Linked DNA regions of Alligator mississippiensis. The protein of the gene in region 1 interacts with the protein of each later gene in a biochemical or structural test. Links are inferred from orthologs where the notes say so. Each region holds a gene or a part of one and is shown on either strand. Other genes may lie near its edges.

The links. The genes of interacting proteins can lie anywhere in the genome.
Region 2: the proteins of RARA (region 1) and NR0B2 form a complex in vitro, tested with the Homo sapiens proteins (2 studies listed by BioGRID). The link is inferred for Alligator mississippiensis from reciprocal best matches to the Homo sapiens genes RARA and NR0B2.

The regions. Positions count from the first base shown.
Region 1 is NC_081827.1:164,453,444-164,460,754, reverse strand, and holds the start of RARA (retinoic acid receptor alpha), read left to right. Parts: upstream 1-4,216; 5' UTR 4,217-4,405; intron 4,406-7,311. UniProt on the Homo sapiens protein: Receptor for retinoic acid. Retinoic acid receptors bind as heterodimers to their target response elements in response to their ligands, all-trans or 9-cis retinoic acid, and regulate gene expression in various biological processes.
Region 2 is NC_081829.1:2,773,892-2,781,568, reverse strand, and holds the start of NR0B2 (nuclear receptor subfamily 0 group B member 2), read right to left. Parts: upstream 3,045-7,677; 5' UTR 2,957-3,044; intron 2,951-2,956; exon of another isoform or gene 1,958-2,950; 5' UTR 1,230-1,957; coding exon 710-1,229; intron 1-709. Other genes in the region: nuclear migration protein nudC, read left to right, coding at 3,751-3,846, 5,610-5,687. UniProt on the Homo sapiens protein: Transcriptional regulator that acts as a negative regulator of receptor-dependent signaling pathways. Specifically inhibits transactivation of the nuclear receptor with which it interacts.

The DNA.
Region 1 (7,311 bases):
ACACAGCAAATATGCCAAGGGGTCCCTTGGCTGTGACCAGACTGGGCAAGGCATGTACATTCAGGCCCATATGCCTGAGCTCAGCTGCACACACACATGTATACTTATGCACACCTACCACGTACACACTTATGGCCTCACACCTGTACTTGCACACTCATGCCAGCAGGTCTGCATATGGACACCAGCCAGGCACACAGAACATGCACAATCCTGCAGGTGTGCCAATATGTACACACCCACATATGCACACTCACATATGAGCACCCAAATGTGTGCACCCTCATGCTACTGTTTTGTTACTTCATCCTAGCTGATCTGCATTCCCTACACCCTGGCAATAACTGCCCATCTCTCTCCTGGGGAGAGCTGTGGCAGGGAGCAGGGTCCAGCATTTTGGGCATGGATATTTTGGGCAGGACTCCTGGGTTCCAGTTCCAGCCCCAGCCTTGCCTTCCCCCCACCCCCCCAGCCACTTAGCACTTAACTTATAGCTGCTTACCCCTATCCATGCCTCAGTTTCCCTTCGCTGCAGGATAGGGATGGCATTTGCAGCACACATGGCACAATGCTCCTTACCAGTGCAAAGGGCACTGAGGTTGGGGCTGTCTGCTGAGGGTGCTGTTACTGAGCGCATCTGTGTTCACAGCGATCTCAATTAATTAACAAGGGGTCTGAGTTTCAATGGCAAGGAATCCTCCAAGGATGAGGGAGTAAAAAACCCTGAACAGGAATGGCTGGAGTACAAGGAGGAAGCTGGGGGGTGGGGGCCAGTGGAGGGGCTGGGGGGGAGGATGGGGGTTGAGTAGGGTAGCGGGCCGAGTTCCAGGCAGAGGGAACTCCAGTGAGATCCAGCCCCTGCCTCCTCCTGGGCCCCTCTGCCTGGTTAAAAGGTTCCAGAAGCCTTTTCTTTGCAGGACAAGATAAATCTGTCACTCTCTGGGCTGGGGGAGGGGAAGGGCTGGTGGTGCATGCTGGGTGGGTGAGTGCTGTTGGAGATGCAGGCCAGGGTGGGGGTTGGGGACTCCCCTGCAGGAGCATGGGGCTGGGACAGGCTGGGCTGTGCCATGGTTAGGCCGTGGCTTGCAGTGCTGCGGGGATCGGGCAGGGGTCAGTGCGAGGAGGGCAAGGGAAGGGGACAGAGAGTGCATTGCCCCATCCAAGGCTCCTGTCCTAGCTCTGTCCCAGGGCAACTCTAAGCGGGATGGGTCATGGAGGGGCAGGGCTGGAATAAGCTGGGCAAGGTGCTGGGCAGAGACTCGGACAGAGTACAGGCTTCCTGAAGGCCAGGCCCTCCCAGGCTCAGCTCCATTACAAGGGCAGGGTGTGGAGTTGCTGGACCCCACAGGCACTTTGTTCTGGGCAGAACAGACACTCCCCAGTGCACGGTTCCAGGGTCTTTGAATGCTCGGGGCTTGGGCTCTCTGTTCTAGGATGCAGGGGCAGGCCCCTCCAGCCAGATGCAGTGGTGTCAGCAGGACCAGGTGAGCCACACTGGGTACCCAGAAGGATCCAGCCCTGCTTTGTGCCTCAGTTTCCACTCTCACCCTTTGTCTGTTTAGACTTCTAGCTATTTGGGCCCAGGGCTGTCTCACTCCGTGTCAGAGCAGTATACAGTGTGATGGAGGTCCTGACTTGAGCTGAGGCTTAGTCTGGGCAGTGCCTAGCGCCACCGGGACCATAATCTCAGTAGGTGCCTGCTGGTGCAAGGAGAAGGAAGAAGCTTGGTCTCTGTGGAAGCTTCTAGGTATTACCATAACCTAGACTGTAGCAGAGCCTGCTTCCTTGCAGCTGCTAGCTCCATTGTCTGCCCTGGCTGTCTTGTGGGCAGGGCTGGTAGCAATGCAAGGAATTAAGGGTGCCCCGCACCCGTTTGTCAGCCCCTGTGCATGCGACTGTCCTTCCACCATCATTGAGCACTTGGCTTTGCAGCCGCTGTCCTGTCCTTCCAGCACAGGTTCCTTGCATGCAGTACCATGGATTGCCCATGAGCCTTGGGGTCTCTCTTTGGCCAGTAAAATGCAGCCACCTCTGGTGTGGAATGAGGCTATGCAGTGATATCTTGGGACAGAGTGTGAGGAGCCCAGAAGGCCGCAAAACTGGCTGGGGGAGTCTCAGTGGAGGGAAGGGAGTTGCCAGGGTGGAGATCTGAACTGGGGCCAGGCTCCATCTCCTGTGGAAATGGGCAGGGGCAGAGTGCACTGACCTAGGGAGTCGCTAGGGTAATCTCACCTGTCTGGCGATGACAGTGCCCACAGTGTGTGCCACCTGGACAGTGGGCTCAGCTGTCACCTCCAGCATTTAGCTAAGTGGTCCACTGTGGGCACCAGACCTCAGCCCACAGGGCCCAGCACATTCAGACCCAGGCAGGGGGCTTTCCTCTTCCTTGTCACCCGCTGTCTCCCAGAGAGTGGGTGGTGGGTAGCAGTGGGTGAGGCACCTGGCTTCACACCCCCAGTCCTTCACACCCTGCCAGACCAGGACATTGCTGGAAATGCCCTCCCTCCCCCTGTCCTGCATGTATCAGCCGGGACCTAGGGGCTCCTGGTAGAGACACCAGCCCATCAATCAGGGGCTGAGGCCTCTGCACCGCCCCCTTCTCCATCTTCAGTTGAGTTTCCGGTCCCTTACCGGCAATTAATAGACAAGAACAACAGTGCGCCTTGCGCCCAGACAAGTGAGAACGCAGCTGTCCTAGTGCCATGGGGGCTAGCCTGGGGCGGGTGGGAAGCAGGTACAGGGTGGGGGTGGTAGGGTGCCACGCAAGGCACCAGTATCTCCTAGCTACTGGAGGAAGGAGGCTACCCTCTCCTGCCTCTTGGTGCCTTAACCCTGCGCCCAGCTTCTCAGAGGGGGAGAGGTAGCCAGCACTGAAACACAGAGATTTGTTTTTTTTTCTTTACTTCTTCCCCTTTCGCAGTCAAGCAGAGTTAACCCCTTACAAAGCACCATCTGCCTGATTCACAGTCTCGTTTGGCTTGGGGCCTGCCGTGGGCAGACACTGGATCCTGCCCCAAGCTCCACATGGCAAATGTGGGGGTGTGGGACCAGTCTGTACCGCGCGTCTCAGTTGGCTCCGTGCCCGCCATGGGTACTAGCCAGGATGACTGGGAACTCCCAGTGACTTCCAGAGGGCAACCAGGCCTCAATGTCTCAGATGCATTGCTCTGGTTTGAGCTCAGCCTGTCGGCTGGGGGCCGGGCTTTGAGTATCTCTGCTGCAGAGGGGCCTCTACGGTGGGACATTTCCTCCTCCAGCTGGTACTGGGCTTGGATTCTGTGTCTGCAGCCTGAAGTTGGCTGGTACCAGGAGCAGGGCACCAGAACCCACCTCCTGCGTGGGAGCAGAGCATAACCCAGCGAAGAGCAGATAAGGGGCAGGGAGCGCATGTGCGTGCAAGGCCAGGGGAGAGGATTTCCTTTGATAAGGAGAGCCATGTCACAGAGGGCACAGGCACAGGCAGATGCCCCCAGGCCTCCAGCGTGCAGGGGAGTGGGCCCCGTGGGGCTGGGCGTGGAGCACCGGCGCCGTGGCCTGACCTGGGAGCCAAGGCTGCGTCTGGCAGAGCGCTGGAAGGAGCACGGGATGGGATGGGACTTCCTGGGTCACGGAGTCCAGAGCGCTGCTAACACGGGCGCCACGTCACAGGGTCCCCGCAGGGCCGGGAAGGAGGCTGTTACCCAAGATGCCCCGATGGGGACTGGCTGACTCCTGGGCACCGGGGCTAGGAAAGCAGGGCCCAGCTGCTCCCACACCAGGGTCTTGTCTCCTGCGCCCGGTGGCTGAGGGGCCCGGTGGCTGAGGGGCCCGATGCCGTTTAGGGGCATCCTCCCTGCAGCCTCCTGGGGCCCTTTGACAGGTAGGGAAACTGAGGCAGGGTGCGAGGTGACTTCAGGTGTAGGGGCCCAGCTGGGGTGTGAACCCAAGCGTCCACACTCCCAGCCCGAGCCACCAGACGTCCCTCCCTCCCTCCCCAACTCCCCCCTCACCGCCCCCACTCAAAAAAAAAAAAAAAAAAAAAATGAGCTGCCGCTTTAAGAAGCCCCTCCCCTCCCCTCCCCTCGGGAGGTCTAGACACTTCAAAGGGTTAGTCGGCAGCGACCGGGCCCGCCCCCCGCTCTCCATTGGTTGGCTGCGGGCAGGGGGCGTGTCCCCGCGCGGCCCGTTCCCCCCCGCCCAGTGTAAAGTTTCAGCCGAAGCACATGACGGGCAATGGCTGCTGTCGCCCCGCGCTGAGCGCGCGCCCCGCCAGCGCCGCGTCCCATTGCCCCGCGCCGTTGCCGCCGCCGCCGCCGCCGGAGCGAGGCCCGGGGCTGGGCTGGGCACGATGCGGCCGCGGGTTGCACGCCACGCGGGTGCCTGAGTCGCGCAGGGCCGGGGAGGCGCCCGCTCCTTTCTCTGCAAGGTAACTCCCGGCTCCGCCCGCCTTCTTCGCAAACTTTCCCCTGGGTGCGCTGGGGGGGGGGCGCTTCCTGCGGGGTGAGGCTGGGGAGAGGGAGTCTCTCTCCTTTCCCCCCCAGACTCCACATCCTAGCGCACATTGCAGACCCCCCCACTTGCACCCTGCCAGTTTGTTTGGATTTGCTGCAAATGCAGCCCAGGTTCCTCTCCCCAAGTGACAGGGCCCGCTGCTCCGGTCACTCAGGCGTTGTGACCATAGATGGGGGGGCTGGGGGGCAGGCGGGGGGAGGCACGCTGCTATTGTGCTGCTTGGGGGAGGGGGGAGTGAGCATGGCTGGGGTGGTTTTCCGCGGGGGAGCATGCGTGGCTTGATCCCCTTGTCCTGCGCCCCCCTCCCCCAAGCCCCAAGTGTTCGCACCCAACTGTTGCAGCAGGTTGTGGCTACGCATTCCCAGCTGTCACCCCCTCCCCATGCTCCCCTTCCTGGCTGCATCCTGGCGGGGTGGGGGGTGCTGGTGTGGTTAATAGCCTCCAGGGGCTTCTCAGTGGTAGTGTTTGGTTCACCCCCACCCCACCCCGCCCTTCATCCACTGCCTCCTCTGGTCTCCCCTCCTCTGGCTCCTCTGGAATTTGGGGTGAGGGTAAGTATAAGTAGCCCTTTTTCCGGGAAATCCCAGGCTTTCCATCAAGCCCTTAATTTCCATGCAAACACCTTGCAATGCATTGGAGTGCCTTGGTTGAGTGCTTCTCCAGCTGGCTCTCCTTTCCCAGCTAAGCACTTTTTGCAGAGAACTTTTTTGCTCCTTTATTCCCCCCCCCTCCCCCCTTTAAGGCCCCGTCCAGCCGTGAGCCATTGCTGCGCCTCAGCACGCTTCCCCTTTTGCTGGTGTTACGTGAGGTTAAGCGGTGGGGAGCTCCTGCTGCTCTGCCTTGGCCAGAGCGACGGCTGTGGGTGTGGCGATACGGGGCCTCTGTGCTTTTGAAGGTTTCGAAGTGCCGCTTTTGTTGGTGTGTCACTTTCCCCGGCTTGGCATGATCTTTAAATGGCCTGACACTGCTTTCCAGAGGTGCCTGCGCAATGACTCGGGGAACCCTGTCACCCTCTGTGGTTGTGCTGGTTGGGGAGGTGTGGACAGATAGGCAGGGTGCAGGGCAAGGAGGGTTTGCCTCTTTAGGATGAAGTTTTGGAGAAGGAAGAGCTGTTGGCCTGATAAGCAGAGGAAACCCCATAACAGCACTTCTGAAATGAATCCAGCAGGGTTCACACGGCCGTGAGCAGGGGAGCAGTTCTATGTGGTTACAGTTAATCGGATCTGTCTGAGGCTGGGCCTGTGCAGCAGCTGACAGTGTTGGGGATCTGAAGCAGGAGCCATGGGGATTTTCTGCTGGACCCGTGGCTGGAGGCACCGGGGTCCTCTTGCTGGCAGCATTACTGTTTGGCTGGGTTCTGATCTTGTCCTGCATTGGGGTTGACAAGTGCTGTGCAGGCCAGGCAGCTGAACGGTCCCTGTCCCAAAGAGCAGTCACATGGTGCGGAGTAGACTTTGGGCTGGTCTGGGGAGAGCTGCCTTCCCTGCTGCATGCCCCCTGGGTGCCAGGCACGAGAGCATGGGTCTGTGCTCTGTTTATCTGCAGAGTTATTTAAGGGGTTGGATTGGGCTGCATCCCAGGAGAAGGGTTGTGGGGAATCGGGTCTGTGTCGCTTCCTGGCACAGCTCAGTGCTAACCTGCCGCTGGAGGAGGTAATTCTCCCAGGAGGAAGTAATCTTTCTCTGCAGCTGACAATCCACTGGCGCAGCTACAAACAGTGCAGGGGAAAGAGGAAAGGGGGGGGGTGTCCTTCTGCCCCACCCCCTCCACTTGCTGCCTCCCCCAAGCTCCCACGTGGGGTTGATCCTTCCCTTAGTGCAGGATGACACTTGTGTGACTGCAGCCCTTGTGTACAGGGAGCCTGGCCAGGTGCTCCAGCCTGCATTTGAGAGTTGGAGGGGCCTTGGATGTGATCTGGGCCCTGGGCTCTGCCCCTGCTGCTTGCCAGCTAAAGTGAGTAGGTTGATTGCCAGAGGGAGCCTTGCTGAGACCAGGGAGCTGACTTGAGCAGTGCCCAGCGATTCTGCCTGGGTCCTCAGGTCTCGCAACAGCTTCTCCTCCCCTCAGTTTCTGACCTGCTAAGCAGAGCCTGGTAACTGTGCCACAGGTCAGGGCTGAAGAAAATGAGTTCAGGGCTAGAGCAACTGCTGCAGGGAAGGCACACTCCCTGCAGAAAGCTGTGGCTGAGGTCCTTGTCTTGCCTGAAACAGGTGGGCATGGGGGGCATTCGGCCTCCTGGGTCATGGAACTGGGTTGCCCTGAGCAGGCCTCCCCGACAGCATAATTCATTGTTCTTTTAGCACCAGGACTGTTTCCGGCAGCTCGATGCTGGCACTAGCAATGCCCCTGAGGTCCTGATGGGGAAATTGGAGCACAGAGAGAGCAGGGCATTTTGGAAGGCTACACTGCGTTGGCTTGGTGCTCTGTTGCTCAGTTGACAGCTCATGCAGCACAGTGGGCTACTTATAGGGGGTAATCCTACAGCCCAGATCTTGATGTTGATGGCAGGTACCAGGGGACAGGTGCCTGTGGGCTGTGCAGGGCTGCAGGGGGTGTAGATTGGAGGAGTGACATACAATCAGCACAGCTGGCTGTTTCTGCCAAGCTGCTCAGCAGTGGAAGAGTTAATGTGATTGTTGGCATTGGAATTATCATTAAGTTTCCAAGTGGGCTCCCCCACTCTGTCCAGGGATGCTGGGAAGCTAGGCTCTCTGCAGACTCAGGCAGGTATCTCCGCCTCAGGGCTATATCTCAGGGTGCACCTTGCAGCAGCTGGAGCTGGGAACACATTGTGTTGCTGTGGGGGAAGCGGGGATCATG
Region 2 (7,677 bases), on another chromosome or scaffold:
GAAATGTGAATTACGGGCTCTGCTTCCCAGCCTAAGCACCAATCTCAATCCCACTCACTGGCACTTGACTTCCTCTCTGGAATATTTTGGCATATTCCTGCTGCTGCAATCAAGCTTAATTTCTTTCTACTGAGCACACGCATGTGAACAGACAGAAACACACACACCTTAACCATCTATAGCACAGAGACCCTAAAGTACTTCATAAACCATGCAAGGCAGCACCACTGAGATGCAGCCACTTCTGGGGTGGAAGGAGCTCTTTACTACCGTGCAGCATAACCATGGAAGAGAAATACTGACCGGTGAAACCAGGGACAACTCCAGCTTTCCAAATTGTGCCCTGGGATCTTTACTGTCTACGGTCTTATTCAAAATATTTCCCCAAAGCATATGGCAAGGGACTGATTTCCAGAAGTCAGTGGGAATTAAGGATGCTTAGCACCTCTGAAATTAGCCTCTACAACAGTCTGGGCCTCGGTCTACCTGTCTGTAAAATGGGGCTACTCTTCCTACTTTTGAGCTACTGGAATGAAAAGTGTGAAATGTTAACATTATGGATTAATGACATTAAGATAATCCTCCCCATTGCTCACGTGTGTATGTGCGTGCGTGCGCGCACACACACACACACACGTACACGCGTGCTTTCAAGCAGCCCAGACCAGATTCTCTGTGTAGTACCCTCTGCCCTGCTGAGAGCACTCACCAGGGTTGAAAAGAATGGCTCCTTTCAGGTAGGCATACTCCTTAGGGCTCAGGTCCAGGCTCCAGAACGTGTTCAGGCAGCACTGCAGCCGCTGCACCCCGGCTAGGGTGGGTTGTGTCCTCTCAAGCTCCTGCCTCTTGCTCTGGCCATTGAGGAGAATGTTCTTGAGCATGCTGGGGGCCGGGGTCTCCATCACGTCGAATGTCACCATCTCTTGAACCAACCCCAGAATGAAGAGAGGAGCCCAGCAACTGTCCAGCAGGAGGAGCTGGTCCTCCCGGGGCAGCAGCTGGAAGGAGGGCAGGTTCTTCATGAAGCTGACTGTTTTCACCAGGACATCAGAGGCCGCCTGGCAGGTGACCTGGGGTGTCTGGAGGCAGACGGTGCGACGCTTCTGGCACCGGCAGCGCTGCTGGGATGGGCTATGATTGTGGTTCAGGTTTTGGCTCAGGAGGGTATAGAGGATGGCGTTCCGGTTCTCTTCGCTGTGGCACTGGCATCTCTCATAGTCCACGTCCATGCTGCCTGCACTCAGAGCTCTGCCCACCAAGCAGATCCCACTGACTCTGAAGGAGGAGGTGATCTGGGTGCACTTGACAGGCTGAGTCTGTGAGCACAACCGCGAACTCCTGTGCCCGTCAAAGCTCTCCGACTGCAGCCTCTTCCACTGAGCTCAGCTGCCTCAACCCTCTGGCTGCTACGCTCAGTGGTATTTATAAGGCGCTGGCGGTGAGTGGAACACCCCCTTCCACCCTTGACCTCTCTTTGACAAAGCAGCATTCATTAAAAAACAAGTTGACTCTCGCCTGATTGGCTGGGGAAGCGAGTTCTTCATGTGGCGTCAAGAAGTGTTTTCTCAATGAAAGTGCCAGCCAGGGCCAGGAGGACGGGACAGAATGGCAGGCTGGGCAGCTGGCTTATCTCGGTTGTCCAAACAGGATAAACAATGTCGATAACCCAGCCTGTACCATGGTACCAAGGCCCCGATGCGTAATCAGGCAGTACTGTATGACAGGTGTCATTGCCAAGGAGCGCGCACATGCACACACAGCACTTGTCTGGAGCAGGAGCCCGGTGGCAAACAACCTGTAGGCTCTGGCCTTGGAAAGAGCAACCTGGAAGTCATGTTATCAGCAGGTTGTTTGTCTAACCTTGTTGACAGCAGGCTGCTGTCGTTACAGATAACGAAAAGAAACCCAACGGACTGAGGGCATCTGGTTCTCGGATCAAGGCTGGGACCTGGGGTACCTGGTGTCAGAAAAACACGGGGGGGTTTGAGAATCAGATTTCATTAAACCAACATCTCGAGAGAGCCTCTCCCTTCCCTTCTCTTGGTGGTGGATGGTTCCTTCTCGGCCTGGAGGGAGGTGGGCAGTGGGGTCCCGCAGGGTTCGGTCCTCAGACCGGTATTATTTAATATCTTCATCAGCGATTTGGATGAGGGCGTGGAGAGCACCCTCTCCAAGTTTGCTGATGATACCAAGTTATGGGGCAAAGTTAGTACACCGGAGGGGAGGGAGCAGATTCAGGCTGACCTGGACAGGTTGGAGCAATGGGCAGAGAGAAATAGGATGCAATTTAATAAAAATAAATGTAAGGTGCTCCACCTGGGAAGGAGGAACCCCCAGCACACCTGTAGGTTGGGGAGTGTCCTTCTCAGCAGCTCGGAGGCAGAGAGGGATCTTGGAGTCGTAATCGACTCCAAGATGAACGTGAGCCGGCAGTGTAACGAGGCCATCCACAAGGCCAGTCGCACCTTGTCGTGCATTAGCAGGTGCATGACTGACAGATCAAAGGAGGTGACGCTCCCCCTCTACGTGGCACTGGTCAGGCAGCAGTTGCAGTGCTGTGTCCAGTTTTGGGCGCCGCACTTCAGGAGGGACGCGGGGAATCTGGAGAGATCGAGAGGAGGCCACTCGCATGATTCGTGGCCTTCGGGAAAGACCCTACGGGGGAGGTCGAGAGAGCTGAATCTCTTCAGCCTTCACAAGGGACAGCTGAGGGGAGACCTTGTGGCCGCCTATAAATTTATTAGGAGAGGTCAACAGGGGATAGGGGAAGCGCTGTTTACTAGGGCGCCCCAGGGAGTGACTAGGAATAAGGGGTGTAAACTAGTTGAGAGTGGATTTAGGTTAGATATTAGGAAGACATTTTTCACAGTCAGGGTGGCCAGGATCTGGAACGGGATCCCAAGAGAGGTGGTGCTATCACCTAGCTTGGAGATCTTCACGAGGAGGATATAGTCACCTGGCTAGGGTCGTCTGCCCTCGGCCCTCTTTCCTGCCAGGGGCAGGGGTCGGACGTGATGATCCACTGTGGTCCCTTCCGACTCTGCAATCTATGAATCTATGGAACACGGGGGGGACACGGGACTGAGTCCGTGGCTCCCAGCCCCGCTGCCTGCAGCCCGTCTCCATCCTCTCCGTGCGTCGCCTTTCAGGTAGTTGAAGCCGCCATCGAATCCCGCTTCAGCCTTCTCTTCTGCCGGCCCACTGCTTTCAGCTGCTCTGGGCCGTGGCGTTCGCGTCGCAATGCGCCGCACCCCGCCGGATCTATCCCGCGCCGTCTTCTTGCGCTGCGGAGCCGCCCAGGCGGGAGAGCAAGGGAGGAATTGTGTGGGAGAAGGTGGGGGGGGTCCTTCCCCTCCCCACAACCCTGCGCTGCTAGGGGTGACCTCTCCCTCTGTGACCCCTGACCTCCAGGCAAGGCTGTGACCCCATCACTCGTGTCACCCCCTTCCCCCACGAATCCTTTCAACCATCCCTTTAAAGGCCTAACCCAGCCGCGACCCCTGCCCTCCGACGCCCAACGGGCCACGCGGAGCCTTCTGGAAGGCGCGAGACGGCGCCGGTCTCTATAGCAACCAGCGCCGCGCGCCTGTGCCGCGCTAAGCGCCCGCCCTCCTCCCCCCCCCGTCTGCGGATTGGGCGCGGCGGCGGCCAATCAACGAGGGGTCGCGGGAGGAATGCGGCGCGTTGATTGGTGGGGGAGCCCGTTTCCGCTTCCGGGCGAGGGGTCGCGGGCAGCGGTTGCGGGTCGCCATGGGGCTGAGCGCGGAGGAGGTAGCGGAGCAGGAGGACCGCTTCGATGGCATGCTCCTGGCCATGGCGCAGCAGCACCCGGGCGGCGTGCGGGAGGTAGCGCCGGGCGGCCGGGGGGCGGGGGTCTTCCTCTTCCTCCTGCAGCCTCTAGGCCGTGCCCCTCGCCTCGGCGCCTGATGCCCCTTTCCGCCCGTACTTAACCTCGACTCCCCTTGCTGCAGCGGGAGCCCCCCGCTCCTTGCGCGTGTGCGGACAGTCCGGCTTCGCGCCCGTCGTGGGACGAGCGCCGGCGTGTCTCGAGGGGACTTGCTGGTTTTGCCAGCTGCTTCTACAGGCGTCGAGTGACGCAGTCTCAGCCCCGCCGCCGCCGCCAAACACGTCGTTTTCACGGGCTCTCAGAAGCACGAAGCACCGACTCCGGCGGAGCGAGTAAAGCAGAGGCTCCCGACCGCTAGGTCGCGGCGGGTCGGCTGCCGCGCTGGAGGTCCGGAAGCGACCGGCGTACCGTGGAGCGGCAGCCAATCCTCTTTTTAGATTGAGCCTAAAAAAGGGTCGGCTGTCGCTCCCCAGTACACCGGTCACTTCCGGTCCGTGGCTTGCCGGTCCGCAGCCTAAAAAAGTTGGGATGCCCTGGAGTAAAGCCCCTGAAGTACATAAGAAGGGTGCCCAAACGTTCCCGTCTGTGAAATGGGAACAAAGGCATCAACCTTTGCGAAGTGCCGTGGGATTTGTCCACGAAGAGACCGCACTTCATAAAGATCCAGAGGCCTTAAGCAGCTCGGGCCCCGTCTTCCGGGGTCGTTTTAGGAGCACCGAACATTCGTGACAGCGCCATGCCTGCGGCCCTCCCGGTGTTTGCCAGCAGTCCGTGCATTCCTTAATGTTGCAAATGTTTTCCTCCGTTTAACTCCCCGCGCTTAAAGGAGGCATCGGCGGTTGCGCTGGGAAAGCATTCGCACTTAAACGGGTTGTCACGTTAATTATTAGCATGGCGCCATTGGCGTGCGGGGGCTGAACAGCTATCCAAGAAAGGCGAGGGTCTCGCCTCGTGCTGCAGTTTAGGCAGCGTCCAGGCTGAGGGATGAAAAGCTCGCTGGTGAGTAGCGGTGTGGCGGGTGGCTCGTTTGCCACTCGGGTCCCTGAGCCTGGCCATGCTCTGGCTGTAGCCATGGTGGAAGGAAACTGTTGAAACACAAATGCGATGTCTCTGGCCCCTATAGAAGGGGTTTCTTTGCTGCTGATCCTCCCAATCAAACAGTTGCTGTGGCAACTGGTGCACAGCGCTTCAAGCAACCTAGGAGGATAAGGTATAGGAAGGCTAAGTCATTGTGGTTCTTGGGAATGAGTCTGCCCACACTGGCTATGGAAACGAATAGCAACACTATTTATACCAGCATTGCGCTGCTTCCAGCTGAGGTGTGGGCAGAGACCATCTTGGTGAGCACCACGTGCTCTGCTGTCTCCTCTAATCTAGTCCGTCAGAGCCAACTGATAAAAGTGGTTCTTTGTCTTCATGTCCCATGTATCTGGACCAGCATGCAATGCCGTTCTTCAGTTCGAGCTGCTACTTCTCTCTGTCCGTGGGCTCCCTGTGAAAACCTAATTAGAGGAAAAGGCCAAAAATGCTTCACCAAATCGTTGGAGCGACCATGTAAAGATTCTGCTAGATCAGCTGCTTGGAAGTAAGAACAAGGAAGCGAGAAGTTGTCTTCTCGGCTACCTGCTGAGTGAAGACTTGCTCATCGCAATACTGCTAAGATCTAGATTTGCTCCCTTTCCTTGTAGGCTCTCTTGCAGCTCAGACTCTTTAATTCAGGTCTCTTGACGTTACCTGTCTTCTTGTGTTTTTCTTTTTCCAGCTTGTGAACACGTTCTTCAGTTTCCTGAGACGGAAAACGGATTTCTTCACAGGTGGAGAAGACGGAGTGGCAGAGAAGGTAAAAAAACAACTAATCCTTCCCCCTCACAGACCCTTATGTGTCATTTTTATGTGCTCGGGCCCAGCTGTTCACGTCGAGATGCTTCCTGCCTCTGGCAGACATCTGACCTGTGTGCCACAAAGTGCTTTCTTCCTGTTGCCGTGTGGTATCTTCAAACTGTGCCCAATGTTTGCGATGCTGCAGAAATATACCAGTGAAACAAGGTAGGAGTGAGCTGCCCTTGTCCATGGCTGAGCTTGTTTGCTTGTCGAATAATATCAATGGTGAAGGTTTTTGTCACGCTGTGGCCAAAGGGTTGTTTGAAAAGCAAGCCTGCCAGACACACTGACTTAACGTTGACAGACACCGCGGGATCAATAACCCTAAGTTACCTTGTTTATTCATCTCAGAAAAGCACAAAGTCCGTCTCCCTGCCCATGCAGCTGCCCCTGTGCCTCTGAGTGCAGGGCTGATACAATCCAAATGTGTTGGGGGCACCGGAGGTGGTCAAAATAAGGAAAAGCCAGCAGCGTGTGATACACACTTGATGCTTTACAACCCCACCAGTGGGTGGCTTCAGAACATAGCTCAGGAAACATTGCCATGTCATATATAGAGGGAAAGCTTACAATTGCCAGTGCTGCATAGAATATACCTGCTGCCTAACCTGCAAGGGGAGGGAGATGGGGAAACCCCAACACAGAGCTAGGGTGAAAATGAGTGAAATCTGCAAAAGAGCTGCAAGAGTTTTTTTAGGAACAAATCTTCCCCATCTCACAGGGACAGGCATATATGTGTAGAATCAATGTGTGACGATGATTAGCACTGTATTTATAGAGCTTCTGCCGATTGGCACTCCAGAGCATAAGCAAGAGGAGCTTTGAGGCATTGGCTAGAGGCAGGGACTGACTGTCAGGATGCCTGGCTTCGGCTGTGCGCTACATAGGAGGGGATGGCTCCCTGCCCCAGTGCCCCCTCTGGAACTGGACTAGAATACTGGTTTTTGTAAAGTGCTTTGCAAGCCTCTGAACGAAGGACACTGAATACAAGCCCGTGCTGATTGTGTCTCTGTCAACACAGTCCCCCAGCTAGAGCTTGAAGAGGCCATTTATTCTCTCCCACTTCCCCCTTCCCCTTTGGAACTCTTAACACAGCCCCTTGGGCCTGAAACATTTAATTGAATCTAGCAGGAGGGAAACCACCAGGCTGAACCACCTTTTGAGACTGGGGAAAGATTGTGGAAGGACTCCTATCCCCTTCCATTCTCCTCCCAACATGATGGACCTGCCTGGTATTTTTATGGCTCTTTGGAGACTTGCTTGTTCTCCCATGTTTGTAGGCAAAGGCTTCATAATCTCTTCTTCATCGTTGCAGTCTGCAGTCAGTGCTGTAACTAGCTGGGGGTTTGATTTCTGTAAGCTGCTCTGGGATAGTTCATCCTGAAAGGGGCTGATCATGTCCTTGGAACTTCTTTGAATTAATATCTTACTCCTTGGCATAAGAGATCTTCTTTTCCCTCCCATCTGGCTCCTGACCCTGGATAGTATCCTTCCTGTGGAAGCATTACCTTGATGCCTGTAGGAAGGCTGAGTTTCACTACGTGCTGTCTTGCACGGTACCTGTGGTATTATCAATAGCTGGGTTATTGCTCCAGGTTGGCCTCTTGCCTGTTTACTTAGCTCTGCCTCTGAACGCTACAGCCCTTTACATCGTAGACTTTGATGTTCTGCCTTTCACAGCTGTACCTGAGCCCTTGCGATACAAGAGACTTGAGATTGCTTGGAGAGAAGATTATATATGAATTTATTCCTCAATGATATCATTCATCTTTCAGCTGCCTCTCCTAGAAATTTTGGCAGGGGGATTTACAGAATGGACTGAACACACATTCTCTAGCACGTGGGGAAAGTTCAGGCTGACAAAGCCTTCCTTAATGTGCCTGGCTCGTGTCTGCATCCAGTTCATGAAAGCATGTTTCACTTGCATGACTTCTTCCATCTGGAGTTCT